Linked DNA regions of Pelodiscus sinensis. The protein of the gene in region 3 interacts with the protein of the main gene of each other region in a biochemical or structural test. Links are inferred from orthologs where the notes say so. Each region holds a gene or a part of one and is shown on either strand. Other genes may lie near its edges. The genes, in order: SQSTM1, UBR5, UBE2D2 and RNF14.

The links.
Region 1: of the proteins of UBE2D2 (region 3) and SQSTM1, one has a biochemical effect on the other in vitro, tested with the Homo sapiens proteins (2 studies listed by BioGRID, with this or other methods). The link is inferred for Pelodiscus sinensis from reciprocal best matches to the Homo sapiens genes UBE2D2 and SQSTM1.
Region 2: the proteins of UBE2D2 (region 3) and UBR5 form a complex in vitro, tested with the Homo sapiens proteins (12 studies listed by BioGRID, with this or other methods). The link is inferred for Pelodiscus sinensis from reciprocal best matches to the Homo sapiens genes UBE2D2 and UBR5.
Region 4: the proteins of UBE2D2 (region 3) and RNF14 form a complex in vitro, tested with the Homo sapiens proteins (2 studies listed by BioGRID). The link is inferred for Pelodiscus sinensis from reciprocal best matches to the Homo sapiens genes UBE2D2 and RNF14.

The regions. Positions count from the first base shown.
Region 1 is NC_134727.1:34,414,656-34,422,537, forward strand, and holds the start of SQSTM1 (sequestosome-1), read left to right. Parts: upstream 1-4,536; 5' UTR 4,537-4,650; coding exon 4,651-4,819; intron 4,820-6,673; coding exon 6,674-6,769; intron 6,770-7,882. UniProt on the Homo sapiens protein: Molecular adapter required for selective macroautophagy (aggrephagy) by acting as a bridge between polyubiquitinated proteins and autophagosomes.
Region 2 is NC_134712.1:34,237,555-34,244,726, forward strand, and holds the start of UBR5 (E3 ubiquitin-protein ligase UBR5), read left to right. Parts: upstream 1-3,818; 5' UTR 3,819-4,079; coding exon 4,080-4,141; intron 4,142-7,172. UniProt on the Homo sapiens protein: E3 ubiquitin-protein ligase involved in different protein quality control pathways in the cytoplasm and nucleus. Mainly acts as a ubiquitin chain elongator that extends pre-ubiquitinated substrates.
Region 3 is NC_134727.1:3,052,430-3,060,138, forward strand, and holds the start of UBE2D2 (ubiquitin-conjugating enzyme E2 D2), read right to left. Parts: upstream 3,078-7,709; 5' UTR 2,754-3,077; coding exon 2,730-2,753; intron 1-2,729.
Region 4 is NC_134727.1:24,328,336-24,335,807, forward strand, and holds the start of RNF14 (E3 ubiquitin-protein ligase RNF14), read right to left. Parts: upstream 3,217-7,472; 5' UTR 3,059-3,216; intron 2,956-3,058; exon of another isoform or gene 2,321-2,955; intron 984-2,320; 5' UTR 975-983; coding exon 821-974; intron 1-820. UniProt on the Homo sapiens protein: E3 ubiquitin-protein ligase that plays a key role in the RNF14-RNF25 translation quality control pathway, a pathway that takes place when a ribosome has stalled during translation, and which promotes ubiquitination and degradation of translation factors on stalled ribosomes.

The DNA.
Region 1 (7,882 bases), about 31 Mb from region 3:
AACAGTGTGAGGATCTTTGTATGGCTGGTGGACATTCTGTTTTTATTTTGTGGATAAACAGAAGACTTCAGTCTCCCATAATATTAAGTCAGTAACTTTTACCAACACTGTCAAATAATTCCAAATTTAAATGACGTAAACAAGGGAGGGCTAGTGGATTATATCTTTGTTTTGACCACAAACCCTTTCATGTTTAGGATCATTAGCCCCATCATGTACCTATATTCACAAACCTAGTAAAATGTTTCATTACAGACACAGCACTATTTACCTGGTCATGGGTTTAAACAGTAACTCGTCATTTCAAAATGGATCAGTGGCCATAAAACATTATTACCAAGCAATTCAAGTGGTTCTTCTGAAGATGAAAAGGAACAATTCTGTCTACTATAAACATAAAATATTCTTTAAATAAATAACATCATAATTATTTAAAAATTAAACTTGTGTTCATTGATTAACCAGGAAGCTAAATATACTGCCGAGTCTAAAATATGTCTCTCAAATAAAAAAAAAATCTTATTAAAAAATAAATGAATCTTTTCCTTAACCCTCAAGAACTTTTAATTCATGACAAGGCCTCTCAAGATTTCTCATTATGTTAGGTTAAGAAGTATGTCACTAAAAATCAGGGCAACAGGCCCTTAAAGTGAAACGATATTAATACCAACTGGGAACCTACTACTCATTGATCCATCTTTAATTACACTTGGAAGGTTCAGACAGCTCTTCTGCCAGCTGGATTCTTATCTGACCTGATTAAGAGTCCTGTCAACTGCATCTGATCTGCAAATATTGCTGCCAACAAATTTGGAAAGCCCACAAGCATCCTTCTTAATGTCAGCAAGCATCTATTTTTAAGTCTCAAAAACCCAGATCCAGGAGAGATTATTAGCATGATTACTTAACTGTATGTACTAAGAGGAGGGCAGGCATATGCTACCTATTGAGTATGAGGTAAATCTTGTGAATTGACACATTCACCTTTTGATTATCAAAGAGCATAGATTTTGGAACCCCATTCAGCAACCACTCCTGCCTAACATTGCTCAGTCTATAACATTATGGAAGCAACACAACTAGTCAGGACTAGACTAAAGGATCTTAAATGCCATGTTTGCCATAGAATGAGGTACAGTAACACTACTGTGTCTCAGTGCTGCAGGTCCTGGGATAGCATATTGTGGTATAGCAGAAGTTATACAGTCATGTCTCCATGCCAGAGGTTCTTGGACGTTGTGTTGTAAAATAACAGAAGCATGTTCCTGAATGATGCACAGATGTTGTTGGCTACGTCTAGACTGGCATGATTTTTCGCAAATGCTTTTAACAGAAAAGTTTTTCCGTTAAAAGTATTTGCGGAAATGAGCGTCTAGATTGGCACGGACGCTTTTGCGCAAAAGCACTTTTTGCGGAAAAGCGTCCGTGCCAATCTAGACATGGTTTTGCACAAGAAAGCCCCGATCACCATTTTTGCCATCGGGGCTTTTTTGCGCAAAGCACTTTTTAGCTGTCTACACTGGCCCTCCTGCGCAAATACAGCTGCTTTTGCGGAAAAACTTGCCAGTCTAGACGCAGCCGTTGTGTTTAACTAATCATGTTTAAAACCACTGACAGCCCTCAAATATCAAAACCAACTGGCATTTACTGGAGAGTGCTGAAAATTTGTTAAAGCACTTTCAGGTGAACTGAATCTTATTTCCACTACATAGAAAGCTGGAGACATTAAATATTATCTGTCATGTCTCACTGCCTTTCAGTTATTTTTCTTATTATACAGCTTTGTATTGTGATTAAAAACAAAACAAAACAGAAAACCTTCATGTTTGTTTCCTGTTACACTTTTAGAACTATTCATTCTTTTGTGCTGGAAAACAGATTTCCTCAGCACATCCATTGCCAAAAGTGGACTAGATGAAATCTTGAAGGTAGCATGGAGTTAAAAGTCCTGTTAAAGTAGAAACAAGTTAAAAGAAACTGCTGGGGTTTTTTTTTGTTTTGTTTTTTTAGAAGAGGCAAAAAAGACTGGGGGTGGAAAGAGTAAAAGAGGAGAAATATAAGAGACAACCAGAAAGAGGGGGGAACACACAAGAGATCTAAAGGGATGAAAAGGCACTTGATGAAAAATAATATGTCTGCAATTCTAATGTGCAGATTTCTGAATCTTGCAACCGTGTCTCACTCCCTGCTGGTTTGCAAAACACTTCAGGGAGTCCAACGCACAGCAGAATCTGTATTATATTACTTTTTGTGATGAGTATAATGGATTAAATAGCAAACACAAACTGTCCTTAACTGTAACTGTCTCCAGTTTCATCAACAACAGACTTAGGATGGTTAGTAATTTGTACAAGAAAATAAGGTAGTGTCACAAAAGGTAATAGCTGTTTAAAATGCATTTCTTTAGAGCAGTACACATCTGTATTGTATTTGTATAGCCCCTAGTATCATGGGGCCTCAGTTCTGACTGGGTTCTTTGGATGCTGCACATATAACTATGTGTTAACTCTTGTTACTGACGTTATAGATTAAAACTATTTTAAATAAAACGTTTTTATCAAATGACATCTTTCTAAACTGTACTTTAGACATTGGTTTCATTTCAGTCTCAAGCTCTGTGGATCTTTCTGGCCGTCCCTGCAGCCAGGGGCAAGCAACATGGTCTGTGGCCCTTGGGGAGGCCTGTACCCCCACCCAGAACGACTGGTGGGTGGCTAGTGCCCCGCAGGCCTGCCTCCCCTCCATCTCTGACAGCAGCAGAGGGGGAAAGTGCTGAGTCACGGTGACTGCAGGCTTTCACAAGGCCGCTTCCTTGCGTGCTTTCTCCACCTACTTGGGATCAGGTGCCACTACCTGCCAGTGCCAAGCCCTACGTACCCCCTTCGTCCCATCCCCACCCACCTGCCACGCCCTTGCCGCCGCCACCGCCTTCCCCCCCCATCTCTTCAGGCTCCAGCTCCTTCAATCCACAGACGAATCCCCCATCTACCCCCCCAGCATCTCCTCCTCGGGCTCCCCCCCCACTCTAAACCGGCTCCCCCCATTCTAAACCACCCCTCCCGCCTCCCTCCTCTAAACTGGCTCCCCCCATTCTAAACCGCCCCCCCCGCTCCCCTACTCTAAACCGGCTCCCCCCATTCTAAACCGCCCCCCCCCACTCCCCTACTCTAAACCGCCCCCCCACTCCCCTACTCTAAACCGCCCCCCCCGCTCCCCTACTCTAAACCGGCTCCCCCCATTCTAAACCGCCCCCCCCCACTCCCCTACTCTAAACCGGCTCCCCCCATTCTAAACCGCCCCCCCCGCTCCCCTACTCTAAACCGGCTCCCCCCATTCTAAACCGCCCCCCCCGCCTCCCTCCTCTAAACTGGCTCCCCCCATTCTAAACCGCCCCCCCCCCCGCTCCCCTACTCTAAACCGGCTCCCCCCATTCTAAACCGCCCCCCCCACTCCCCTACTCTAAACCGCCCCCCCCGCTCCCCTACTCTAAACCGCCCCCCCCCCGCTCCCCTACTCTAAACCGGCTCCCCCCATTCTAAACCGCCCCCCCCACTCCCCTACTCTAAACCGCCCCCCCGCTCCCCTACTCTAAACCGCCCCCCCCGCTCCCCTACTCTAAACCGGCTCCCCCCATTCTAAACCGCCCCCCCCCGCCTCCCTCCTCTAAACTGGCTCCCCCCATTCTAAACCGCCCCCCCCGCTCCCCTACTCTAAACCGGCTCCCCCCATTCTAAACCGCCCCCCCCGCTCCCCTACTCTAAACCGGCTCCCCCCATTCTAAACCGCCCCCCCCCACTCCCCTACTCTAAACCGGCTCCCCCCATTCTAAACCGCCCCCCCCCGCTCCCCTACTCTAAACCGGCTCCCCCCATTCTAAACCGCCCCCCCCGCCTCCCTCCTCTAAACTGGCTCCCCCCATTCTAAACCGCCCCCCCCCCCGCTCCCCTACTCTAAACCGGCTCCCCCCATTCTAAACCGCCCCCCCCACTCCCCTACTCTAAACCGCCCCCCCCGCTCCCCTACTCTAAACCGCCCCCCCCCCCGCTCCCCTACTCTAAACCGGCTCCCCCCATTCTAAACCGCCCCCCCCACTCCCCTACTCTAAACCGCCCCCCCGCTCCCCTACTCTAAACCGCCCCCCCCGCTCCCCTACTCTAAACCGGCTCCCCCCATTCTAAACCGCCCCCCCCCGCCTCCCTCCTCTAAACTGGCTCCCCCCATTCTACACCGCCCCCCCCGCTCCCCTACTCTAAACCGGCTCCCCCCATTCTAAACCGCCCCCCCCGCTCCCCTACTCTAAACCGCCCCCCCCCGCTCCCCTACTCTAAACCGCCCCCCCCCCGCTCCCCTACTCTAAACCGGCTCCCCCCATTCTAAACCGCCCCGCCCCCCCGCCTCCTCAGCCTCCAGACCCCGCCCCGAATCTAGCCCCCCCGCGCCCGGGCGCTGAGAAGGTGCCTGAGCCGCGCCCCGCCCTGCCTTCCCCCTAGCGGGGCGCCCAGGGGCGGGGACTTTCCCGGCGCAGGCCCGGCCTCCCGCGGTATAAGGGGAGCGGCCGGGCGGAGGGAGCTCAGGCCCGCGCCGCGCTCTGCCCAGCCCCAGCCGCCCGCCGCCGCCCATTGCTGCTGCGCCACAGCCCGCCCGCCCGCCATGGCCGCGCTGACGGTGAAGGCCTTTCTGCTGGGCAAGGAGGGGGTGGTCCGCGAGATCCGCCGCTTCGCGCTCCCGCCGCCCGCCCGCTACCAGGACGTGCGCGACAAGGTCGGCGAGATCTTCCCCGCGCCGCTGCGCGACGGCGCCTTCCTGCTGCACTACAAGGGTGAGCGCCGCGGGCCCGGCTGTGGCCAGGCTCGATCCGCGGCTCTTTTCCGCCCCTGAGCTGTGCGAGCCCGTAGGGAGACCGCCCCGGTGCATGCTGCGGGCTGGGCAGAATCGCGGCCTGATGCCTGCCCCACACCCGGCTGCTCCGGGGGGGGACAAGACTCCTAGACTCGAAGGGACCATTATGATCATCTAGTCCCACCCCCTGCCCAATGCAGGCCGCAGAATCGCACCCACCCTCTCCTGGAATAGGCCTCTCCCCTCTCGCTCACATATTGGTCTGAGGAAGTGGGTCTGGCCCACGAAAGCTCGTCATCTAATAAGCCATCTTGTTAGTCTCTAAAGGGCTACATAGCCCTGTATATTGAAGTCCTGAAATGGTCTAAGGACCCCAAGATGCAGAGAGGACAGCAGACTAGCTCTGGGAACAATGCGCTAGGCTGCCCTTTTGCCTCCAGGGCTTCTCTTTTCTGTACCTCTGTAAATGCCTACGGCTTGGTCTACAGCACTACACACACATGTGGGTATAACTGCTTCGCTCAGGCCCCTGGATTTTCCATCCCAGAGGTCGGCTTAATGGCAGTATTAACACTCCATCCCTTCCCTGTACACAACACATTGTGGACTGTTGCCATAGCAATCATTTCCCACGGAGGTGTATTCACTACCCCATGGGAATATAGTAGTGTTTTCACCAAATGCTACAATGGCATAGCTGCACTGCTGCAGCACTGGGGGTGAAGACCAGCCTTGGAAAGAAAGCACATACAGTGAGCCTCATTTTAGCTCAAATTTTAGCTCAAATTACAGAAAGAAAAGTTCTTGCTACTTCCTGCCAACCCCTTCATTAACATAAATTGAAGTTCAGTGTTATACAGTATCATCTCATACTTTATTCGTATTATTAGTTTCTAGACTAGCTCATTGAGGAGACTTTCACATTTCTCCCCTTTAAATTATCATTCATGCAGTAACTCTATTCTGTTCAAAGACCAAGATATTTCAATGCCAAATATTTAGTTCTTAAAGATCATACACTCCAACGTGACTGTTTTTCTGCGGGTGATATTTAACTCTAGTTTATTGGAAAATTGCTTCCTTGTCAGATTTTTCTCTGTTCTCACTACTGCCAGTTTTTAACAAGAACACATATAGCTCTGCAGCATAGCTTCTCCATAGTACTGCAGACATAGTAAAATTATTTAAACATACACTCCATTCTGTAACTATTGCTGAAGTGGCTTGTGTCTTTAAAACTATACCTCTCTGCAAATGTGGTGGTTTGTAAGCAGAAGATAGTTTGGTAGGGAAGAAACTACTTAAGTAGAGGGGCAAGGTGGGAGAGAGTTTTTATGCTGATAATCTGGGGTTGATAGGACTAAAACAACACTGCATACAACTCTCAAGTAGGTTAGATTTCTTTCCCATCTAAGTTATTTGTTGTTATAGAACTCTAAGCAAAAGAGGAGAGTAAAACTAAGTGCCATTTTGAAATGAGGATAGTTAATCAACCCTTTTATTTCTCTCTCAAAACTGGAAGGGACATCCAGTCCAGTCCTCTGCCCTCATGGCAGGTACCATCCCTGACAGATTTGCCCCAGATCCCTAAATGGCTCCCTCAAGGATTGAATTTACAACCCTGGGTTTTAGCAAGCCAATGCTCAAACCACTGAGCTACCCCTCTCCCCAACAGTTCTAATATCAAAGCAGTAAGGTGTTGCTTGATTGTTAGTCTCTATTATTTGCAAAATACTTAAGACAAACTACATATTTCACTTTGTTTTCATAAAGACTTACTTTCATCTCTTCCTGATTGTCACTTATATCCAATTTATTAATCTGTCTTCTTCAGATGAAGATGGCGACATGATTGCCTTTTCCGGTGAAGAAGAATTCAAGATGGCTCTGCCATATGTGAAGGATGGCATTTTTCGTATTTACATCAAAGGTAATCTTTAGTTTTGTGGTGGTAAAGAGGCTCTCAAAAGAGAAGCAAGGCTGACTTTGTGTTTCTGTAATGGGTAACTGCGTATGGCAGAGGTAGTACTTAAAGAGTCCCTGAGAAAGTGTGTGATGCAGAGTACACCCTAATTGCTTCAGGAGCACATGTCTCTGCTACAAGGATGGCACTCTGCTACAGGTCCCTTGAGGGCAGATTGAATAAAATATAGAACAAGTGTTTATAGGCTTGGAGGAATTCTATTCTGTTGTGCTGAGAGGGAAACAAACTAGAAAATCCAGTCAAATAAATTCAAGGAAATTGTATTACAAAGTTCAAACTTCTAGAGTTACTTTAAGAAAAAAACATGTCTGGACTAGCACTAACCACAAATTAAGAGGTATACAATTTCATTCTTTAAATATTATGTAATTAGGGTATTTAAATCCTGACTTTCAGTTTTATTAGTATTTTAGCATGCCTCATAGTAGCCCTCTGGTTGAAGTCAGTGCTCCATATGTATCTCTTCTTTCCTCACATAATTTTGAAGATTGACACATCCACAGTTTGTAGATTTACAGTCTGTGTAACCATGTGTTTTACTGCTCCTTGTCTTCCCTTCCCATCTGTTAATCTAAGTTTAGAGAAAACAAGGGTTTATCTGAAGAATTTACATTGTTCCAGACATCGTTGTCTTACTGTAGTCATATGGAGCACAAACTTGATGGGTCTTGGTACTGTCATGATACAAGTTAAGGAATGTTAACAGACTGGAAGTTGTCAGGCTGATGAAGTGGAGAAAAGTTATCCATTCACAGCCTTAATTAAATGTAAACAGTGGCTGTGTCTACACTGCACCCCTTTTCCGGAAAAGGGATGCAGATTAGACACTTTAGAATAGCGAATAGAATAGATTAGACGCTTTTTTTCCGGCAGCCATGTTAATGCAAATACCGTGGAGGATATTTAAATCCCCTGCGGATTTTGCTATTCCCATGTGATACATTAGCATCCCTTTTCCGGAAGGGATGCCAGTGTAGACATAGCCAGTCAGTTTTGGCTGAGATGACTTTAAGAAATTGCAATATATTCAGCATGGCACACTATTTAATCTGATCCAGA
Region 2 (7,172 bases), on a different chromosome or scaffold from region 3:
AGGGCAACTCAACTTTGGTGCCTCCCCCTTCCCTTACTGCCCCTGCCCCCTTTGCCCTTTCTGCCCTTTTCCCCTCCTGCTCCTCTGTGCCCTCACACATGCCTTGCTCCATCCCCACCTTTCTCATGCCCACCCCTTCTTTCAAGCCTTCTCCCAGCACCTCCCCCTTCAGTCCCCAATGCCCTTGCCCTCTCCTCTCCCAGCATCACCCTGCCCCCCCCCAACACCTCCCCTCCTGCCCTTTCCGTCATTGTCTGTAATTAGCCCCCTGGCATTTGTCTCTCCTGCACCCTGTCCCTTGGTGTCTTCCCCTCCCAAGACCCTCTCCTTCCCCCCCACCGCCGCACAAGCCAGTTTCCTGCCATCTGCCTTCCACGTTGCGGGGCCAGGGGCCGCTCTCAGGCCCTGGAGGCCAAACCCAGAGGCAGCCCTGCAATGTGCCTCTGAGAAGTTTTAAAATCCCAGCCCGTGACGTTACGTCACACCCAGGCATCCTCCCCGCCCACGGGCAACACTGCACATGGGCAGCAGCAGCTGGCAAGGAGGAGCCAGGCATGGCAGGGAGGGGCCTGGGCCTGCTCCAGGCAGAGCCGGGGGAAAGAGACCCAGCTCCACATATTGGTGGAGCAGGGCCCTCAGCTCTGTAACTCGCCAGCACTTCCGGGTTCAAGGGCGCGGGCCCCAATTCGACCTAGGGCTGGCCCTGCCAGCAGCCACCAGGCACGCTGAGGCCCGGTATTTTTTTCCCGCATCCCAGTAACAGGCCGCAGCCCATAGTTTGGGAAATGCTGCTCTAAAAAGTGATCAAGTGCACTGTACTTCCTTTTTATAGTCTTCCATTTGCTACATTTCCTTCCCACCCTCTCCTTAAAGGGAGAGGAACCCTTCAATGTGGGGTGTGTGTGTGTGACAAAAATGGAATTTCCCTCCTGTGCTGAGAAAAGGGTGGAGAAAGGGAAAGAGGAAAACTAATGTGAAACCAAGATTGCTCTTTAAGGTGACATTACTGAAGGAAAAACCAAACCACAGACTCCACTAGGATTGCTTTATCAATGCTTCAGAAATGTTCAGTTTTAGGAACTCTTTTAGCGATCTGTTTCAGAATCACTTACTACAACTTAGTGAATAGGAAATATTGTGGCAGTATACAGGCAGTCCCCAGGTTACGTACAAGATAGGGACTGTAGGTTTGTTCTTAAGTTGAATCCGTATGTAAGTTGGAACTGGCGTCCAGATTCAGCCGCTGCTGAAACTGACCGCCAGTTCTGACTTACATACAGATTCAACTTAAGAACCCCAAGCCAGCTGCTGCTGAAACTGATCAGCACTGATTCCAGGAAGCCTGGGGCAGAGCAACTCTGCCTTGGGCTTCCTGTAGTCAGCGCTGGTCAGTTTCAGCAGCGGCTGACTTGGGGACGCCTGGGGCAGAGCAGCTGGGGTGCTGCTGGGTTGCTCCAGTAGCACCGCTCCTTGGCGCTACTGGACCAACCCAGCAGCACCCCAGCTGCTCTGCCCCAGGCGTCCTGATTCAGCCACTGCTGAAACTGACCAGCAGCGGCTGAATCAGGACCTGGGGCAGAGCAGCTGGGGTGCTGCCGGGTTGGTCCAGTAGTGCCCAGAGCGGCGCTGCAGGACCAATCGGTAGCGCCCCAGCTGCTCTGCTCCAGGGTCCAAAACAAAAGCCTGGTCTGCTGGGGGGGGGGCACACTAGCCGCTCCCCCCCCCCAGCAGACCAGGGACACCGGGAGCAGAGCCGCAGCGGCAGCGAGGCGAGGGACCCCGCCACGGGTGCGGCTTCAGTCCCGGTGCCTGTGGTCTGCTGGGGACGGTCCCCAGCAGACCACAGGCACCTGGACTGAAGCGGCAGCAGCGGCCGGTTCCCCGTGCTTCTGAGGCTTTGCTCTGGCAGAGCCTCAGAAGCGCGGGAACCCGCCCGGTGCCCCTGGTCTGCTGGAGACCAGGGGCACCAGAGCAGCTTACGAACGGGGCTCTCTCGCCCCGGAGCTCGCAGGTAGCAATTCGTAAGTGCGGATCCGCGTAAGTCGGGGACTGCCTGTATATCCTATTAAGAAATTGACCTTATCTGCCATTACTGAATCTTTTGAAAATATTGTTAGCAAGTGATTCACTAATTTAATTTTGACCGGTGTTATAACTATTTCCCAAGACAGTTATAATCACTGTGTAGATAAAATGTTAAGGAGAGTTGAATAAAACTTAGTTTTATAAAGACATTTTTATAACTCTTGCTAAAGTGACTGAGGAAGCTTTTTAAAAAAATATGCACAAATGACAATATTTCTCACATAGAGCAAGACTACCTTGTTATCTCTAAAGTCAATTTTTGACCAGTATATTAAAGCTTGTGCTTTAAGGCTTAAATCAATAACTAACTGACCAGGCTGAGACCTATGTCAGATCTCCCCATCACAAGTGAACAATGCAGGATTCTTAGATCACAAGTCCAAAACAATTTGCTCTGGAGGCTTTGAAAACATTATACTAGACTAGTAGACCACGTTTATTCCATTAAGGAAGTTCCTAGACTTTTAAAAAACCCATGGTTTTGCAGCCGTTCACTGACATTATTCAATATGTAGAAATATGATCAATTAAATAAACCCAGCATGAAACTTTAACTAAATTTCAGTTTTCCAGCGTGTTAGTATAAATATTTTAAATAAATGCTTTCCGATATATGACAAGGTAGTGCATGTGAGTATGCACTAGTTTGTAATTGTGGGGAGGGGAAGTCTTATTTAATGTAGCTTAGTGCTAGTGAAATAGCCCTCTTGCTTGCTTTGCAAACTACCATTACTTATCCCTACGAACTGTATATACTGCAACAATAAGCTTTCTACATGCTGACCCAAAGGCAAATGTATCAGGCTAAATCCATAGTCAAGTTACCTTTATTCCCCTCCAGCACCTGTGAATGGTTTTTAACACCAGTTCAGTTGTTTGAGTATCTCCCCCTCCTCAGGCAACTGAAACAAGGTTAAACAGTCTACACAGCTGCTTAGGGCAAGGAAAGGTATTCATCCCTGCCACCCTGTTAGTCAAAAAAGTCTTCAAGACCCCCCACGATGGCATAGGCCTGTTCTGGAGCCCGTTGGCCTGTCAGGGGCTGTACTCCTGTACGCACTGGTTAGCTGGCTACCAGCACGACTGTAAGAACGAGAAGTGGCCCCGTGGCGCTTTAGAGCCAGTCTCTAGCTAGAGAGAATCATGAGCTTTCCTGGGCAAAACCCACTTCAGACCTGGCCCACTCCAGCCTGCGGCTGTCAGTGGCAATGAACCTGCTGAAGCCGGACCCGCCGCCAACGCCCCTCGCCCGGCGGTCAGGGGCCCCAGCCGAGCCCGGTAGCCGGACAGCAGCGTGAGGCTGGACGCCGCCCCCTCACGGCCCGCACGCTCTCATGCCTCCAGCCGCCGCCGGCCTGGGCCCCTGAGGTCTCCCCGCCGCCCAGCTCCGCCCCCCAGGCGGCTCAGGCCCAGGCAGGGAGCGGCAAGAGGCCACAGGCAGCCGCGGAGGCCCGAGTCTCCCATCCGCCATCGCGAGCCGGGCCGCGACACGCAGACGCCTCCCCAGAGCGGGCAGCGCGCCGCAACCCCCCCCATACGCGCTTCCCCGCCCCCAGCTTCTCCCAGGAGCACGTGGCCTTGATGTAATTTGCGTCCGACGTAGTCGCGCTTTACGGGCTCGCTAGCCCAATCCGCCACTTCCTTACAGCCACACCGCCGATAGGCCTTGCGCGCGCCAGTAAGCGTGCAGCTTACATCGCGGTCGCTCAGCGGGCGCCCCGCCCCACCCCGGCGCGGCGCAAGGAGGGAGGGAGAAGGGGCCGCTGGAAGTTAAGATGGCGGCGCGTGTGTGAGTGCGGCGCGGTGCGAGTCTCTTCCTGACCCTGCCGCCGCGGGCCCCCGCGCCCCACTCTGCGTCGGATCGCTGTGGGGAGGGAAGGACGCTGCTCGCGAGCGCGAGCGCCCCCACCGCCCCGAGAGAGACGCCGAGCTTCCCCCTCCCCCGCCTCCATTGTGTGCCCGGCCTCTGCCCGCCTCTGGGGGGGGAGCGCAACATGACATCGATCCACTTCGTGGTGCACCCGCTGCCGGGCACCGAGGACCAGCTCAATGACCGGTGAGGGGAGGCCCACGTGGGTGAGGGGGACGGAGAGGGGAGGGGCGCGGCCCGGCCCCTGGGGGACATGGGAGGGAGGGGCGGGCCCATGTGTCTGGCGGCCAGAGAGAGGCGGGTGGCTGGGCGGCGGGCAGGGAAGCCGTGAGCGTGTCTGCGGGCCGGTGGGCTTGGGAGGGGAAGAGTCCCGCTTCTCTGCACGGGGTCTGATGTATCCGAGCCCCCTCCCCGCAGCCATTTGCTGTGGGTGATGTCCCTGCCCTCTTTGGGCCCGGGGACGCGTCTGGGCTGCACGTTCAAAGCATGGTCGTTTCCTGATAGTCCCCCGAGACTGCAAACTCTGGGTCCCGGGGGGGATCGTGACTTTTGAGAGTGAGTCCCCGTGTCTCTCCGCCCAGCTTTTTCTGGCCAGGAGACACTGGGGCTGTACCAGGCTTCTCATGTGAGAAGTGGGTTCTAATTACTCCTGGAGGGAGGCTGAGGAGGAGTAGGAATTTGTCCATACAAATCAACGATGAATTGACAGACACTGTAGTTGGAATTGCATATCATGGAAGATACAGTGGAAGCGTGAGGAAAGTATAAGGACTTGGTTTTAGGCCTTTAGTTTGAAAGGGGTTGTTCTGTAAAGTGCTCACTATTGAGCACTATTGCAGGGAAGAGAAAGAGGCATGGAAACACATTGCATCTTTAAATGTGATGTTTGGAAATCTTCCAGTTATAGTTAAGATTATGCAGTGATAAACATAGGTTGTGAAGAAACTATACTAGTCTGGGGAAAGAAGGAAACATTTTATTTAAATCTCGAGGTGTGAGACATTTTCAGATTCTTCTGTTGATATCTTCTTTTGTAGTCATTAATAGTTTTCTGCAGTTAGTAAATTTCACAATATAAAATCTTAATAGATTCTGAACTGATAAATTCTCAGTTTATATTAATTCACTGTCAAATTATCTGTGGTTAATAATACAGAAGACCTAGATTTTAGTTATAGGGTGGAAATCTAAATAAACTTGTTTCTGAACAGGCTGTGAGAGCCTTTGGATATTTATTTCTGTCTTTTGCAGCCTCCCAGATTTGAATATAGGTCTAGAAAACTTCCATTATGTTGTCTCACTGAGTAATTTGCAGCAAGAAAAGAGGGGTGGGGGCCGAAATACTTCTCCATTAAACTACATCTGCAATTCAAGGGCTTATAATGTTAACAATGAGCAAAGTAAGTCATTGGAAGGATGATATTTCACCCAAACTTCTCCATCTTTGTTCTTAAACAGAGGAGAGAGTTGTAGTGATAAAACAGGCCTGTGACTTAACTCTTGCTAGTTGGGTGTAAATTTTTTGGGTGACCTGGTGACACATCTTATAAGGCACTGTTCGTCATGTGCTTCTCAAAGGAGGCAGCCTAACTACTGTTGGGAGATTGACCTCCTTTGCAGTAATGCCTTCACATATGGTATGCATCTGCTTCCAGCAGGAGGAAAATTGTGAGCACTAATACTATGATGGGATATTTCCATTTCTTCACCTAACTTTTGGTTTATGAAGATTTTTGATCTTGAAAGCACCAGCATCTTTTTCAAAAATATGATGAGGCCATTGTTGAACAAGTAATTACCAACCTTGGTTCAAGTATATTGAAGTAACACTCCAGATTTGTCTTACACCTTACCTGTCTTGTTTTTGGCTAAGCTTTCAGAGGCCTTGCATTCAACTACAGGCAGTCCCCGACTTACGCGGATCCGACTTATGTCGGATCCGCACTTACGAACGGGGCTTTCTCGCCCCGGAAGTCGAGGTGGCGGATTGCTGCCTGCGAGCTCTGGGGCGAGAAAGCCCCGTTTGTAAGCTGCTCCCGGTGCCCCTGGTCTGCTGGAGACCGTCTCCAGCAGACCAGGGGCACCAGGACTGAAGCCGCAGCAGCGGCGGGTTCCCGCGCTTCTGAGGCTTTGCTCTGGCAAAGTCTCAGAGGCGCGGCACCCCGCTGCTGCTGCGGCTCTGCTCCCCGTGTCCCTGGTCTGCTGGGGGGGGGGGGGGGCGCAGCTAGGCTTTTGTTGTGGACCCTGGGGCAGAGCAGCTGGGGCGCTGCCGATTGGTCCTGCAGCGCCGCTCTGGGCACTACTGGACCAACCCGGCAGCACCCCAGCTGCTCTGCCCCAGGTCCTGATTCAGCCGCTGCTGGTCAGTTTCAGCAGTGGCTGAATCAGGACGCCTGGGGCAGAGCAGCTGGGGTGCTGCTGGGTTGGTCCAGTAGCACCAGGGAGTGAGGAGCGGTGCTACTGGAGCAACCCAGCAGCACCCCAGCTGCTCTGCCCCAGGCGTCCCCAAGTCAGCCGCTGCTGAAACTGACCAGCGCTGACTACAGGAAGCCCGAGGCAGAGTTACTCTGCCCCAGGCTTCGTGGAATCAGCTGCTGATCAGTTTCAGCAGCAGCTGACTTGGGGACGCCTGGGGTTCTTAAGTTGAATCTGTATGTAAGTCAGATCTGGTGGTCAGTTTCAGCAGCGGCTGAATCTGGATGCCAGTTCCGACTTACATACAGATTGAACTTAAGAACAAACCTACAGTCCCTATCTTGTACGTAACCCGGGGACTGCCTGTAATCTGCATTTCTCTGGAATGCAGTATGGTTTGAATATCATATCTGGTCAATTTCAAAATGACAGGAGATGTGCCTTCCAGCATAACAGTATCTGGCTCATCTCCATGTGTCCTCCCAGTAGAGTTTCAAGGTATTAAGATGTTAATTACTTTCCTACCAGACAACGGAAAATAACAGTGGAGGAATAGGCATTTGAGCACAAACCTTGGGAGTGGGGTGAATGGGGAACACTGGAAATGAGAGGGGAAAGAGGAGAAACACACAGCCCCTTTTGGAGTGTTGGATCTGGGATCCTGCTATGGTGGGAGAGGAGGAATGTGGAAAGGAGATGTAAGCAAAGAACCTCGTATGCATGGTAGAATGGGGGATCATGCAACTTGTGTGGACACACAACCCTCTAGTGAGAAGAGATTGGGAGACCCTGGTATGGGGAG
Region 3 (7,709 bases):
GTCTACTTTTGGACAGCTGTCCCTTGCCAATATTTATTATGAACTATGAGGATGACTACTTAAGAATTTCTTGTAACACTTTCCAGAGTAAAAGAGAAACTGATGGTCTCATGCAAAAAGACTAGGAGACAAGAGTTTATAAACATTTTTAGCCTGCAAGGACAAGATTTTTAGGTGCATTTTCCTGCAAATACGTTAAATAACTATGTACTGAGATGTACCATATAATAATGACATTGTAAGATCATGAGCTGCTGAATATCTGACATCTATGATCACTTCACCCTCCACTAACAGTTAAGAGTTTAATCGGTGATGCCAATACAGGTTGAACCTCTCTAGTCTGGTACCCTTGGGACGTGAGTGGTGCCAAACCAGAGAACCTGCCCAATCACGGGAAGTCAATATTGCCCAGCAGATTACCAATACTTCCATTGCTTACAGGATTCTCAGAAGACATGTAGGGGTAAATTAGAGCTAAACCACAGCACAGCAAGTTGACATAGGGACCGATGGCTGTAAACAAACGTTATGGACCATGGAAAAAAAAAAAAAAAAAAAAAAAAAAACTCGGCCACACCCACGATAAGTGAACATCCAGCTAACATTATGCCATACCACAGATGTTGCTGGACTGGACAGTGCCAGACTAGAGAGGTTCAACCTGTAATGGCATAACAGATTAAAAAGGGAAGAATAGATTAGGAGACTTTAGTAGGCCTGCCCATCAAAATACACGAATCTCATACACGGTAGCTTCAGATACTAAACCAAATTGGATGGACCCAGAATGTTTACGCAGAGTAAGATGATCAATTAAGGCTTTCCCTAGAACAGTGGTGGGCAATCTGCAGCCCATTAGGATTCTGTGTGTGGCCTACAAAACATTTTATTTTCCTATTGTTACTGAAGTGATATGTATGCAAACTGAAGTGTGTGTTGATGCCACATGTTGACTATGAGAGCTCTATGCTCCCTCTGCATCCAATGAAACCACTGCTATGATTCAACTGGCACACTCCAGAAATTCTAGGTACACAAGCACAGTTAGCAAGACTACCCTATCCCGGGAAACTGTATGGTTATGACAATCTTGCAGTCCACTGAGATTGAGGAGGGCCACTCATGAAGCCCATTCACTAGCCTGGGTTGCTCATCACCTCTCTAGGTTTAAAATTCTTACTTGGTATTTTTCCCTCAGCTAGAAGCTCAAGTACATGTGCCTATTAAGTTGCCATACACAACACTGAAGTTAAATAAAAGCCAGCTTGCACTTGAGGAGGACTTCCTGCATTTCAGGGTTAGATGGCAACTCCTACAAAAAAAAAAAAAAAGGCCGCAAAAGAGAACTCCTGGGCAACAACGGACATGGAGGAGGGAGAAGTTTTGAGGCTTCCCTCAGATCCTAACAGGCTCCCTGCCCCGGGTGTGACCCCAAAAACCCCAGGCCCCCTTCTGACTCCGAGGCTCCCTGCCCCGGGTGTGACCCCCAAACCCCCCAGAGCCCCCTTCTGACTCCGAGGCTCCCTGCCCCGGGTGTGACCCCCAAACCCCCCAGAGCCCCCTTCTGACTCCGAGGCTCCCTGCCCCGGGTGTGACCCCCAAACCCCCCAGAGCCCCCTTCTGACTCCGAGGCTCCCTGCCCCGGGTGTGACCCCCAAACCCCCCAGAGCCCCCTTCTGACTCCGAGGCTCCCTGCCCCGGGTGTGACCCCAAACCCCCCAGAGCCCCCTCTGACTCCGAGGCTCCCTGCCCCGGGTGTGACCCCCAAACCCCCCAGAGCCCCTTCTGACTCCGAGGCTCCCTGCCCCGGGTGTGACCCCCAAACCCCCCAGAGCCCCTTCTGACTCCGAGGCTCCCTGCCCCGGGTGTGACCCCCAAACCCCCCAGAGCCCCCAGGCCCCCTTCTGACTCCGAGGCTCCCTGCCCCGGGTGTGACCCCAGACCCCCCAGAGCCCCCTTCTGACTCCGAGGCTCCCTGCCCCGGGTGTGACCCCCAAACCCCCCAGAGCCCCTTCTGACTCCGAGGCTCCCTGCCCCGGGTGTGACCCCAAACCCCCCAGAGCCCCTTCTGACTCCGAGGCTCCCTGCCCCGGGTGTGACCCCCAAACCCCCCAGAGCCCCCTTCTGACTCCGAGGCTCCCTGCCCCGGGTGTGACCCCCAAACCCCCCAGAGCCCCCTTCTGACTCCGAGGCTCCCTGCCCCGGGTGTGACCCCCAAACCCCCCAGAGCCCCCTTCTGACTCCGAGGCTCCCTGCCCCGGGTGTGACCCCCAAACCCCCCAGGCCCCCTTCTGACTCCGAGGCTCCCTGCCCCGGGTGTGACCCCAAACCCCCCAAACCCCCCAGAGCCCCTTCTGACTCCGAGGCTCCCTGCCCCGGGTGTGACCCCAGACCCCCCACCTGGACTCCTCCGAGCGGAGCCCGCGCTGCGGCCCGGCCGAGCCCTGCCCCTGCCTTGTGCTGCCCGGCGTTACAGGCAGCAAGCGGGCTCGTGCGCCGGGCCCGGCGGGAAGGCCCAGCCCCCCCCCCCCGCGGGTTCCCCGCTTTCGCTTTCCCCCGGCCCGTGTCACCCGCTCGCCGCCCCGCCCGGCCCGGCCCTCGCCAGGAGGCCGCGGGGCCCGAACGCACCTGCCGGCCCCGCAACAAAGAGAGGCCCCGGGCCGCGCGGTTACGTAAGGGGGGGCGGGCCCCCCTGCCCGGCACACGGGGGGGCGCGCGGCCCTTACCTTGTGGATTCTCTTCAGCGCCATTGTGTGAGGGGCCCGGTGCGGGGGGCTCGCTCGGGATTATTTCGCGGGGGGAGGGGCGCGGCGCGGCGGAGTCTCGGGGCGGCGGTCGGGCCTCGCTCTCTGTTCCCCCCGGCGGCCGCTGGGCTCTTGCTCGCTGCCGCAGCTGCTACCGCATCACTCCGCGGGGCCTTTATGCGCTGCCGCCTCCGAGGCCGTATCACTCCGCCACCATCCCAGTAGTCACCAGCGGGGCAGCCGGGCGGAGGGGGAGCAGCACCTGGTGATGGGGCCCGCTCGGGCACGAAGGACTATTTTCCCATTCTCCTTACACACAGAACTCTCCAGAAAGGGGTCCGGAGAAGCGGAGGGATACGATTCAGGGAGGGGGAGTGAAATAACTTCTCGCGAGAAGAGAAAGAAAGAGGTTCCGGGAGAGGTAGAGTAGAAGGAAGGCCTAGTGCGGCTGCGCGGGGGGGGGGGGAGCGTCGGGAGGTTCCGCGTCGGGCCCGGTGCTGCTCGGAGAGGGCGGAGCCTGTGGGCCCCCCCCCGGGCCTCTTCCCCCCCCCAGGGGCTTGTCCTCCCCCCACCCCTAGGGCCCGGACACTCCCCTCCCCCCGTCCTGTCCTCCCCCTCCCATCCCCTCCCCCCTCGTCCTCCCCCCACCCCTAGGGCCCGGACACTCCCCTCCCCCCCCATCCTGCCCTCACCCCGGGGCCCGGATCCTCCCCTCCCCCCCCGTCCTGCTCTCCCCCTCCCATTCCTTCCCCCCCCCGTCCTGCCCTCACCCCGGGGCCCGGATCCTCCCCTCCCCCCCCGTCCTGCTCTCCCCCTCCCATTCCTTCCCCCCCCCGTCCTGCCCTCACCCCGGGGCCCGGATCCTCCCCTCCCTCTGAAGCCCCCCTCCGTGCTCTCCTGGCCTTTCGGGAGCCTGTACCCCCCCCCCCCGACACCACAGTGCCCCGCGTGTCACCCCCTGGGGGCCTGTGCTGCCCCTGGAGCACCCCCCTCACGCTACTCGGGTCTCCCCTTCCTTGGGGGATGGTGCCCCCTGTGCGGTCCTTCCCCCCTCCCCTGAGGGCCCCATACTGCCCTTCCTCTCCTCTGGGGCTCTGTGCTGTCCCCTCCTTGCCGCCCTTCTCTCTCCTAGAGCCCTGTGTTGCCCTCCTCTCTCCCCTCCTCTCTTCCCCCCCTCCCCAATTGGGGGCCATGCCCCTGCTATAACTCCCTGAGTTAATACCTATGCCCTGGGTTTCCTACTCCTGGGAGTGGGCAAGGTTAGGTGCACTTTGGCCTACCCCTAAAGGGCTGGGAATGCTAAGTCTCAGACTCTGCCTTCCTGTGTGGTGACCCACATTGTGATCTAAGCCACAGGCAAGAGAGATAGAAAGGACTTTCTCTGAAAGTTTGGGTGAAAGGAGAAGTTGGAGGCCTCTTGGAGTATTGGCTATCTGCACAAAGGCTAACCCAGTGAAAGTACACAGTCTGCGCTAGAGGCAGTACTGAAAGGCCCTAGTTGGGGGTGACGGAGGAGATTCTGTTTTCATGTGCTAAAGGCGCCGCTATAATAATCCGTCTCCTATATTCCCCCATGGTGTTAGATGATCCTTCAGTAGGATCAAGAAGGAATCCTGTCACCACGCAGACCAGCCTGAGAAGCTACCTTTTTTTCCAGATTGCAGTTGTGTGGCAAGAAAGTATGCTAAGTATCTGGAAGAATAGATCTTTGAGTTGTACCTTAACCCTGTGCTGATGCTTTTCCCACCTTTCCTCTTCTTGCCATCTTTGATGTACATTTGGTGCCTTGCACATAGTGTACCATGTAACAGCATTTGAAAATAGTTTAAGATGAGTTGCGTGCACATTTGATCCAGCTAAAGAACACAGTGAAAAATCATGTAGTTGAGCACATGAAGGGACAAGTTCGTGGCAAAGTTTGAGCTGTAAAATACAGAATTATGGCACCCAGTTTTCTGACAAATTGTTCGCAGCTGTCATTCTACATGTACTTTTGAACAGTAATTCATCAGGTTTATTACAGCAATGCCTAGGGCTAGCGGCATTGTGTGAACACAGAATAGTAGTCAATTCCTGCTCTGAAGAGCTAACACTCTAAATACACAAGATGCACACAAAGTGATTGCAGCAAGTGTCATGTTCTATGATTTTTGTGGGGGAGTGCGTTTACTTAGGCAGGGATAAGCTAAAGGAAAAGTGAAGGGAATTGTGGGGATTGGGGCAGGCTGCAGAAAAGCAGGATTGGTGAAGAGTGAGGGAGAACACAGCCAGTTAGCACAAGGCCGAGAAAGTCCAGCTGAAAATGTAGAAAGTGCTGCTAGGCATTTTCCTCAGCTTTGTCATGTGCTGGGTAGAAATAAAAACAGCAATTCCAACTATTTAACCAGCTGCTTAGCTGGAAGTATCTGATTTTTTTTAAACTGATTATGCAGCAACAGTTATGTGTTCCCAGCACTTCATCACTAATAACAGTGGAAATCTTCATCATGACTTATTACCCATTTGGAGTATAATAATAATACGAGTCACTACCTTTGAGTAAGGAAAAGAACAAAATCAACTTGCTTTATTGGTCTTACCCCTCGGTTTCATATGCTTTCTGATTAGGGGTGTGCAATCCAGTCACTACTTGTTCTAGCGGTGTACTTCTGCAAGGAAGCCACCATGGCACTTCAGGAAAAAGACATTTCCCTTAGCAAGGATCCTCTGTGACGATTCAAGCCATCTGGAGACCCAAAGCTGAGGAAATGGCTCATTAGTTCAAGTGAGCTGGTAGATGAATCATTGGCATGTAATCTACTCTTGCTGACACAAAATTGGGAGGGTTGGACAAAACAATGTGGAAACTTCCTTAGTTGCACTCTCCCTAATACAATCCAGGTTAAATGTTCAACATCCTTTCAGGATGGGGTTGTAACAAGTACAAGACATATTCACTGGGGACCCTATCCTGAAGGAAATCTTTCCTGAACCTTCCTCCTTAAAACACCCCCAACATCTCTAAGATCATCATGAGACACAAGCTCCCCGCCAACCCTGCCAATACAGATGCAGAACCAACATATCAACACCACTGTAATGATCAATACCCCCCTCAACATACCTTTCAAGGTCCATGGGCCCTACATGTGCCAATCTCAACATGTGGTGTACTTTATCCACTGTATTACATGACACCAATCACTAAGTTCTCAAGTGAGCTCACATAAGAAAACGATAAAAGTCAGAAAAACACTGGATTACCTATGGGTGAACGTTTATCACAAAGTGATCCCTCCATATCTGACCTATCAGTCCTCATCCTCAAAAGAAACCTGCACAGTACTTTCAGAAGATGAGTCTGGGATCTTAAAAGTCATAACTTTGCTAAATACTAAAAGGTATGTTCTTAATAAAGATACCAGGCTTATGGTTTATTGCACAATCTGAAACCTGCTAGCCCCTCCCCCTGCACACTTTATTTTTGGCCCTACACGGGTGTTAACAGGCCACTTCACCTTGAATTGTCCCTTAGAATATGTGCTAAACAATTTGGACTAATTTATTCATTTAATCTTGTATTTAGTTGTGACACTGAACTTTTCCCAGAGAGCTCTGTACCTCAAAACTTGTCTCGCCAACAGAAGTTTGTCCAAAGAAATTGTTACTCCCTTTGTTTTGCTAATACCCTGGGACTAACACAGCTACAAGACTGCATACAAACACTGAGTCAAATGCAGAACACTTGTTGGGTATGACACACCGTGCAAATGTTGCCAAACTTCTAAAAAAGGCAGAACTCCGAGATCTCTGAGCCAGATATAATGCTTCAAGGATTTGCCCAGGATAGGGTTTACAGTATGGCTACGTCTACACTGGCATGATTTTCCGGAAATGCTTTTAACGGAAAAGTTTTCCGTTAAAAGCATTTTCGGAAAAGCGCGTCTAGATTGGCAGGACGCTTTTCCGGAAAAGCACTTTTTCCGGAAAAGCGTTCGTGGCCAATCTAGACACGCTTTTCCGCAAAAAAGCCCCGATCGTCATTTTCGTGATCGAGGTTTTTTTGTGGAAAACACTACTGTGCTGTGTACACTGGCCCTTTTCCGAAACAGTTTTCCGGAAAAAGACTTTTGCCCGAATGGGAGCAGCATAGTTTTTCCGGAAAAGCACTGATGATTTTACATTAGATCATCAGTGCTTTTCCGGAAATTCAAGTGGCCAGTGTAGACAGCTGGCAAGTTTTTCCGGAAAAGCGGCTGATTTTCTGGACTAACTTGCCAGTGTAAACACAGCCAATGTGTAGGGGTTAATCCTACACATCCATTTGTGATTAGTGCCTGTTTCTAACCCAGCGGCAAGTTGCCAGGTAACATACAGTTAGGCTATGTCTACACAGAGATACCAGAGGTATCTTGAAATAGCTATTCTGCATCTTGTGCCCATTATTTGGACATAATGGGTTTGCTGTTCCAACATCCCTGCAAACCTCATTCCACGAGGAGTAAGGGACGTTTTGGAATAGCGATGTATTTCCAAATGAGTAGTCTGTAGACAGTGCCAAATTTTGAAACTTGAAATAAGCTACATAATTTGCGTAGCTCAAATTGCATAGCTTATTTTAAGCTACAGGTACAGTGCAGACACACCCTTATACAGGCAGTCCCCGGGTTACATGGATCCGACTTACATCGGATCCCTACTTACAAACGGGGTGAGGCAACCCCGCACTAGCTGCTTCCCCCCAGCAGACCAGGGAGACGCGGAGCGGCTTTTCTCAGCAGACACCTCAGCTTGAGACTAAAGGACTGAGGGAAGTGAGGTGTGGGAGAATAAAACTGAGCTCTGGAGAAATGTTTGGCTAGAGTTTCCCCTACAATATGTACCAGTTCCGACTTACATACAAATTCAACTTAAGAACAAACCTACAGTCCCTATCTTGTATGTAACCCGGGGACTGCCTGTATGTGCAATTTCTCCTTTCTC
Region 4 (7,472 bases), about 21 Mb from region 3:
TGTTGGGGCCTTCAAAGTATTTGAAGGCTTCAATATCTGAGATATAGGTGAGAGGATTATTCTAAGAGGGGTGGGCGAGATTCTGTGGCCTGCACTGTGCAGGGGGTCAGACTAGATGATCATAATGGTCCCTTCTGACCTTAAAGTCTATGAGTCTATGAGTCTATGAAGCAAAGGCACCTCTCTGAGTTAATACCCACTTCACAGACTGTGAAGCTTAAAAGAGATACAATTAAAAACAGAATTAAACATAATTTCAAGTCCCTCGGCCAAAAGTTTAAAAGTGTGTGTTTGTTACTTGTTATTCCCGTAGCCAAATTTGGCCTATACAAACAAGGAAAACAGAATTATTGCATATGGGAACCAATGAAGCTAACTACACACGCACTATTGTGTCCAATATAGAATTCAATGCCCTGAACAAATACAAAATAATATTTTCTCAAAGTTGACACTTACAGTAATGCTCAGTGTTACCTGTGATAGTAAGCAATATTTCTTTAAAACATTTTAAAAATGATAATGTACTTTATCTAATATTTCAAAACTCAAGAGTCTTGGGTGAAAGGCACTACAAAAATGCAATGCAATGCAAAAACACACTAGATGGACATGAAAGTAACTCAAATATCTACATCAATTTGCTTCTAGAGTCCCCCATGGAATAACGTAATGTATGACAAATTGTTCCTGACTTTGATGTTTCACGAAAATAAAATAAAAATGTTTGGGGAGCCACCTTTGGAATATATGTATGAAAATATAAAGTATTTTTTTTATAAAAAATCATTTTAGAATAATGAAAAACATCTGGACTCACCACTCACAAATATTTTGAAATTTTGGGGCAACTCCAGACAAATTCTTGTTTCTCCTCCTTGGGCAGAGTCTGCCCTCTTAAATTCATCTTCATCATAAATACTAGCTAATGCCAGCAGCTCATCCTCCTGAGCTTCCTTATCTTCTGAAGACATTTAACTTTTCTGCAGAATTAAGAAACCAACCAAAAAAATCAAGGACTAAATAGACAATTTGAATGGTCTGTGTGTGTGCGTATATATATAAATGTCACTGAAATGAAAATAAAAAAAACCACAATAGCACAACATAAAAACATACCATACATAATTACTCTTTTTCTTCCAGTTACAGATCCCACACATGCTCTATCATTTGTTGGCAGTTTTAAAGTTCTAAAAAATGGCTCTCTTCAAAACCCAGATAATCAGAGACTAACTCTTAGAAAGTCAACGGCTGAAGAACACTATAGAATGAAATATGTAAGGCAGTGCTAATAGTATCAAGGTTACACTTTATTCATTTGATGAGATGGAAATCGGAGACTGAAGAAAGAAAAAAAATGACAGCTTATGTAGCTGTACCCAGGCTATCTTTAAATAACTTACTAAAGAAGGAAGCGAGGATGTAATAGTGGGCAGCCCAAGACCATTATGGTCCCCTGGCTATGTGCCTGCACTACCAGCCCACACTGCCTTGTTAAACTATCTAGCTAGATGAAAGATAGTGCAGGTACCTCTCTACACTAGGGTTGCAAAAGTTTAACCATTTAACTGGTGGGGCTGGAGCAGCTCTCCACCTGCCACGGGCCGGAGACTACTCCAGCCTTGCAGGGGCTGCTCTGTCCAGGACACCAAAAATTAGCCCTCCAAAAAATCCCTTCCATTGAAGTATTGTCTACATTACAGAAGCACAGATGTACAGCATACATGGATTCAGACTCCTGCAACACTTAGTGCTTGTCTTTGCTGCAGTTAAGACTTAGTTATAACTCAAGTATTGCCCCTAATCCAATACCTGACCACACACAAAAATCTTAAGTGCAGTGACACTTTGAACTCAGGTTGGCTGGCTGGTCAGGGGAGTGCAGACTGCAGCTCAACTACAACAATCCCTCAGCTTCTCTCACAATTGTTTGGAGGCAAATCAAATAATATTTCCAGTTCCCAGTGTGCCCACTCTTGCTGGAACACTTAACTTTAGCCTGGGCAGCTTGAGTTAACACCACAGAGTCCACTAACTCCAGACCAGTGTCAAACACATAATGCTCAACACCCAGGGCAGTAATACTCCAAGTGTGGTCCATGACCATCTTGCAGGTGGGCCACAGGCTCCTCCCCTGCAGTGGTGGTCCAGTCCCACAGTCTTCCTTGAGAGGTTGGAGTGCCAGCACCGGCTTCCCACTTTGCAGGGTGGAGGAGAACCTCCCAGGCCAGATCTGGCTTGTGAAGGAAGTGGCTCCACATTCTGCCACTCGGTGTTCCCTCTAGCCAGGGAAACAGCAGTGCAGGAAACAGCTCACCTGGAAGCTTTCCCTGCTGCTCCCATTGACTGGAATCACAACCAATTGAAGCAGTGGGGGCATGAAGCCAGGTAAACACTAAGGATGTTAAATATCCTGTAATTGAACAGTCGTGTAAACACATGAAATCTTATCATTACATGACTGACTAGTCGATAGTCCCCGGGGCCAGGGCTGGCAGCCAGTATATTCCAAGGAGCCTCCTGCCAGCCTCTGATAGACAGCAATGCAGGGTGGCAGGCAGGAGCTAGAAGCACAGAAGGGAGAGTGGGTAGCAGGTGGCACCGGGGAGCTGGTGCTGGGGAAGGGGGGAAAATGGGATTTTAAGGAAGCAACAGGGGGGGAGGGGCAGGTAGGTCCAGGGAGCTGACACACGCAGGGAGCCTGCTTGAAAGCGGGGTCCTCGCAAGTATCAGCCCCAGCCTAGCCCCTTCGGGCCGCTGCCTCCATCAGAAGTGGGGGCGGCAGACGGGTCCAGGGCTCTGGCCCGCACAGGGACAGGGCTGCGAGGGAAGGGGAAGCGCCTGAAAGGAGACGCCGGCCTGGCACGGGCGCTCCCACGGGACTTTAGGAGAGAAGCGTCAGGCCCCGGATTCTTAGACACTTTCCCAGGCAGCCCCGCCCTTCCCCTCAGGGCTGCCCGGCTCCAGTCGCCTCAGCACCCCCGTCTCCCGCGCATTGCCAGCGCCGGGCCCCGGCCGAGCTACGGACCGCGAGCCTCCTGGTCCCCGCTCTCACCTGGGCCCGGGCGGCCTCCACCGCTTGTCCGCCCCTCCCCGCACGGCCGGGCCCAAGAGCGGCCCCGGTGAGCTCTAAGCAGCGCTGCCAGGAGCCAGCGCCCCCTGCCGGAGGGAGGAGGGCCCTGCGGAGCGGGACGGGGGAGTGGCTGGTCAGCGGGCCGCGCGGACAAGAGGAGAGGAAGGTCTGAGCGGCGCCCGTCTACGTCCAGCCGAGGCGCAGACGCGTGGGAGCCCAGCCTGGCTTTCCCGAGGCTGCGAGCCCTGGCAGCTCCAGCGCTGGAGAGTGCGGGGTGTGTTCGCCGCCGCCTGGCCCCCAGCACGTGCTCTAGGTGCTAAGCGTGCGGGGACCGGAGGAGAAAGCACGTCCTAGAGCAGAAGCAACTTCGCCTACCAAAAACCTGCCTGCAGCAAGAGCCATGACTGCCTTTTAAACGAGGCTGCAGGGAGCCTCAGTGGGTGTGGGCCAGCCCAGTGAGCAGCCACATCACCACGCCTCTTCTTTCAAAATAATGGGCTTATTTCAAATTAACACTGCTGCTTGTATTTCAAAGAGTTATTTGGGGAGGTACTGAGGGGTTAGTATAGACTAGTAATGGCAGTGCGGACCAGTGCTCCCTTTAAGATTTTTCCAACTGTGAGAAGAATGAGTTTTGGCTTGTGCATCAATATTGAGGTTTGGCTGGGCACCACCATGACTATGCTGACCATACGGCCCAGAAAATCTGGAAGAGTCCCAAATTTTAATTGCCTGTCCAGGTGCCCCATAAAACACTGAAAACATCCCAGAAATGGCAGCATAGCTACACGTGGCTGCACTTTTCTGTTTCTTCTCCTGGGGAAAACAGGTGTGCAGGGACTTTTGCACAGATTTTTCCTGCTGCGCTGGAACCTAGCCAAAGCAGCAGGAGGCAGCACCTGACTTCTGGTGCTCTGGCAGGAAGGCAGTTCTTGCCTGCTGCTGCTTTACCAGCATGACTCCTAGGTGGCCCCCTTTGCTGCCTTTTAAACTTTGAAGGAGGAATAAGAGATCCTCCGGAAAAGGGCTTTATTCCAGAGGATCGCACCAGTCTAGATGCTTTTTTCTGGCTTTTCTCCAAGCCGGAAAAAAGCGGTGGACATCTTTATTTAAACCCCCCGCAGATTTCCCTATTCTGAAGTTGAAAATTAGCATGCCCCTTTCGGAAAAGGGGCCAGTGTAGACGTAGCCATAATGAACTAAGTTATACTGTTTTAAATGCCACTAATGATAGATCTCTATTTTAGAAAACTTAACAGCCAATAGTCTGCAGGACCTCAGACTACATCTACACAACAGAGCTATTTCAGGCTACTTCTGGTATTGTCAAAATACCACTATTTCAAAATTAAATTCAAAATGATCTTATTTGGAGGCATAAATTGTGTAGCTTAAATCAAGGTAAGGGTATATTTTTATGCATCCTTAGACTAACAAAAATGTAGATGATTCATCTGAAGGAGTGGTTGTGCCCACAAGAGCTCATGATACCATCTACATTTTTATTAGTCTCTGGGGCTCTGTCTACACTCACGGCTTCTTGGGCAAGTATGACTGTTCTTGCGCAAGAATCTGCAGAGCCTTTACGCTGCCCGCACGCTCTTGCGCAAGGAAATTTACAGTATGGTGTGGTAAGAGGGCTTCTTGCGCAAGAGCTATGCTCCTTAACAGGTGTAAGCCCCCTTGCGCAGGAGCTCTTGTGCAAGAGGGCAGTGTGGACACTCAGCAGGGATTTCTTGCACAAGAAAGCCCTATGGCTAAAATGGCCATCGGAGCTTTCTTGTGCAAGAGAGCATCCACACTGCCATGGGAGCTCTTGTGCAAAAGCATAGCATGCACATGGCAGTGTGGACATTTTCTTGCACAAGAACCCTTGCGCAAGATGTTCTTGCGCAAGAAGCCGCGAGTGTAGACATAGCCTAAAGGTGCCACAGGACTATTTGCTGTTTAAGTTTCTTGAAACTTTATTTTGGAAAAATCACTAAAGGTGAAAAAAGCAATCCCATCAGATACTGCAAATTCACAGGGCCTTGTGTAAATTCAAAACTTGTGTCACAGGAATCAATACCTTTTATTGAACCTTACCCACCTTGTGTGTGTCAAACCAAAAACTGCTTAAATTCTCACAGGCAAGAAATTGCATTTTAACATTGTTAAACTTTTTTTAAAAATCAGTTACTTTAACCTATTATTCCAAAACTTGGAGGAAGCATGTTTATGCCCTTCAATGCAGAATTTAAAAAAAGGGAATTTCGTTTAATTATAATTCCATTTACTTCAAAATGACAAACGAAGCATTTCAGGGATGATGATTGCAAATAAGTGATAGATTCAAAGTTGGTAAATAAGTATCCATCACCATCACAACTCAAGCAATGCTGTTCTCCTTTTAATTCTGGTTCTCCTAATTCAGTTCCTTATGTAATCTTGCCTATCAAACTGTAAACTCTTCCTAGGAAGGACTTAACTTTACTGATAGTTTAACAAGCTAGTCTAACTGGAAAAATGTAACAATAAATAGTCTAGCAGCACTAAAGACTAACAAACATGTAGGTGATATCATGAGCTTTTGTTGTACCCACAAAAGCTCATACCACCATTTACATGTTTTGTTAGTCTTTAAGGTGCTGCTAGATTTTAAGTTTTGATAGTTTACACATTTAAGAAATTGTGGCCTCTTTTTGAAAAATACTTTTTGCATTGGTTGAAATACTAACTTGATGAGTAACATTGCTTGTTGCCTGTGTTAGCTCCACCATGGGCGGGAGGGGGAAGAGGAGATGGAGAAGGGTGATGGAGAGAATCAAATGGAGCATAATCTGTAGGTTGGTTTCTCTTCAGAGTACACAATGTATCCAGGATTTCAGTCACAACTGTAACTTAAAATGTACTTCAAATTTTGAATCCAATTATACTGATCTTTCAAAAATATAGCATCCACTACGCTAGCCACATGTGGCCATTTGGCTGGTTGAGTGTGGCTTGTTTGTAAAAGCAATAGAACTGGTTGCACACCACAGATATAGAGCAAGTTCTCAAAAATAAGACATCCCTTACCCACACACTATCAGAAGCAAAAGGAAATCAGAACTATCTGGAGGAGACAAGACAACTATAGCCTGAACAAAGTTACAAAAATAGCCAGCCTTTGCACAAGAGCTGTTATGTTTGATGATAGCTTGGTCTGGCTATCATTTGTACAGCTGACTCAAGAATAACTAAGGCCATATTTTATGATCAGATAAATTAAAGGTATCTGTTCTTCTAACAGCTAGTACCAGCAAAAGACACACTGAAATCAAATTTGAATTCACGCAAGGTTGACTCCAGCAACTGAGAAGCCACATCCCATTAGAGACAAATAACAGTTTATGATAAGTTGTTAACTATTCTGAAGCAAAGCATAGTATCTAATACCATCAATATGAGCAATGTAAAGCAAGGATGCAGCCAGTGATCTTCTGTGTTTTAGATAATTGTTTGAAATTCCCCTATTATACTGACCTTACACACCTATGGCTACTTAACATTTGCTGAATCTTCATATATCAATGGGATTCCATCCTCAAACAAGCTTTTTGAAAAACAGGAAGTATAGTTAATTGGTGGAACTAGAGGATGGAAAGGGAAGAGGTGTATGATACCACAGGTTTCCAGTACTTTCACTGAAGGATGAGTGGGATTATAGGAGTGTTAGTGGTGTAACTAGAGCTAGCACTGAAGTAATTCAAGCTAAACTGATGAAGGCTGATGAGTCCTAACATTAGCTCAGAGATCATTTGGAGCAGTACTTGTAATGTTTCACAGTAGGCCGTATAGCACTTTTTCTTAAAATGTTTCCAGTACTTGAAATGGGTGCTGCAAATACTATGAATTACGAGTTCTGGGAGCTTCTTGTGAACAGGCACTGTACAGGAAATATTGCAAAACTGGTATTATCATTTAACAGCAGGTTAATTAGCCACAACCATTTACCTTAAGATATTAAGATGTATACCATTTCTGATACCCCATAAAATTGATTTAATTGAGCTATAGTAGAAGCACAATGTTCTAATTAATTTATTATAGGAACACAAATTCTTTCATTTGTCTGGAAAGAGCAAATGAGCAGATTGTACACACTGCAACTTCTTGTTCCTTCAAATACATCCCTGTGGCAAATAAATTGATTAGTGACAGACCTCAATTCTATCACCAACCTAAATTGTAACAGTTACCTTGGCCACAGTTGACAATTAAAAAAAAATAACCCAGTACAATCCAGTGAATTTATTTCTTGTAATGTGTGGATGTTTCAACTTTTGATTTAAAACATACAAAATTAATGTTTTCAGGTTTCTATGACAATTATGAATACTAGAAGCCAAGTCACAGAGCAGCTCATTAAAAAAAC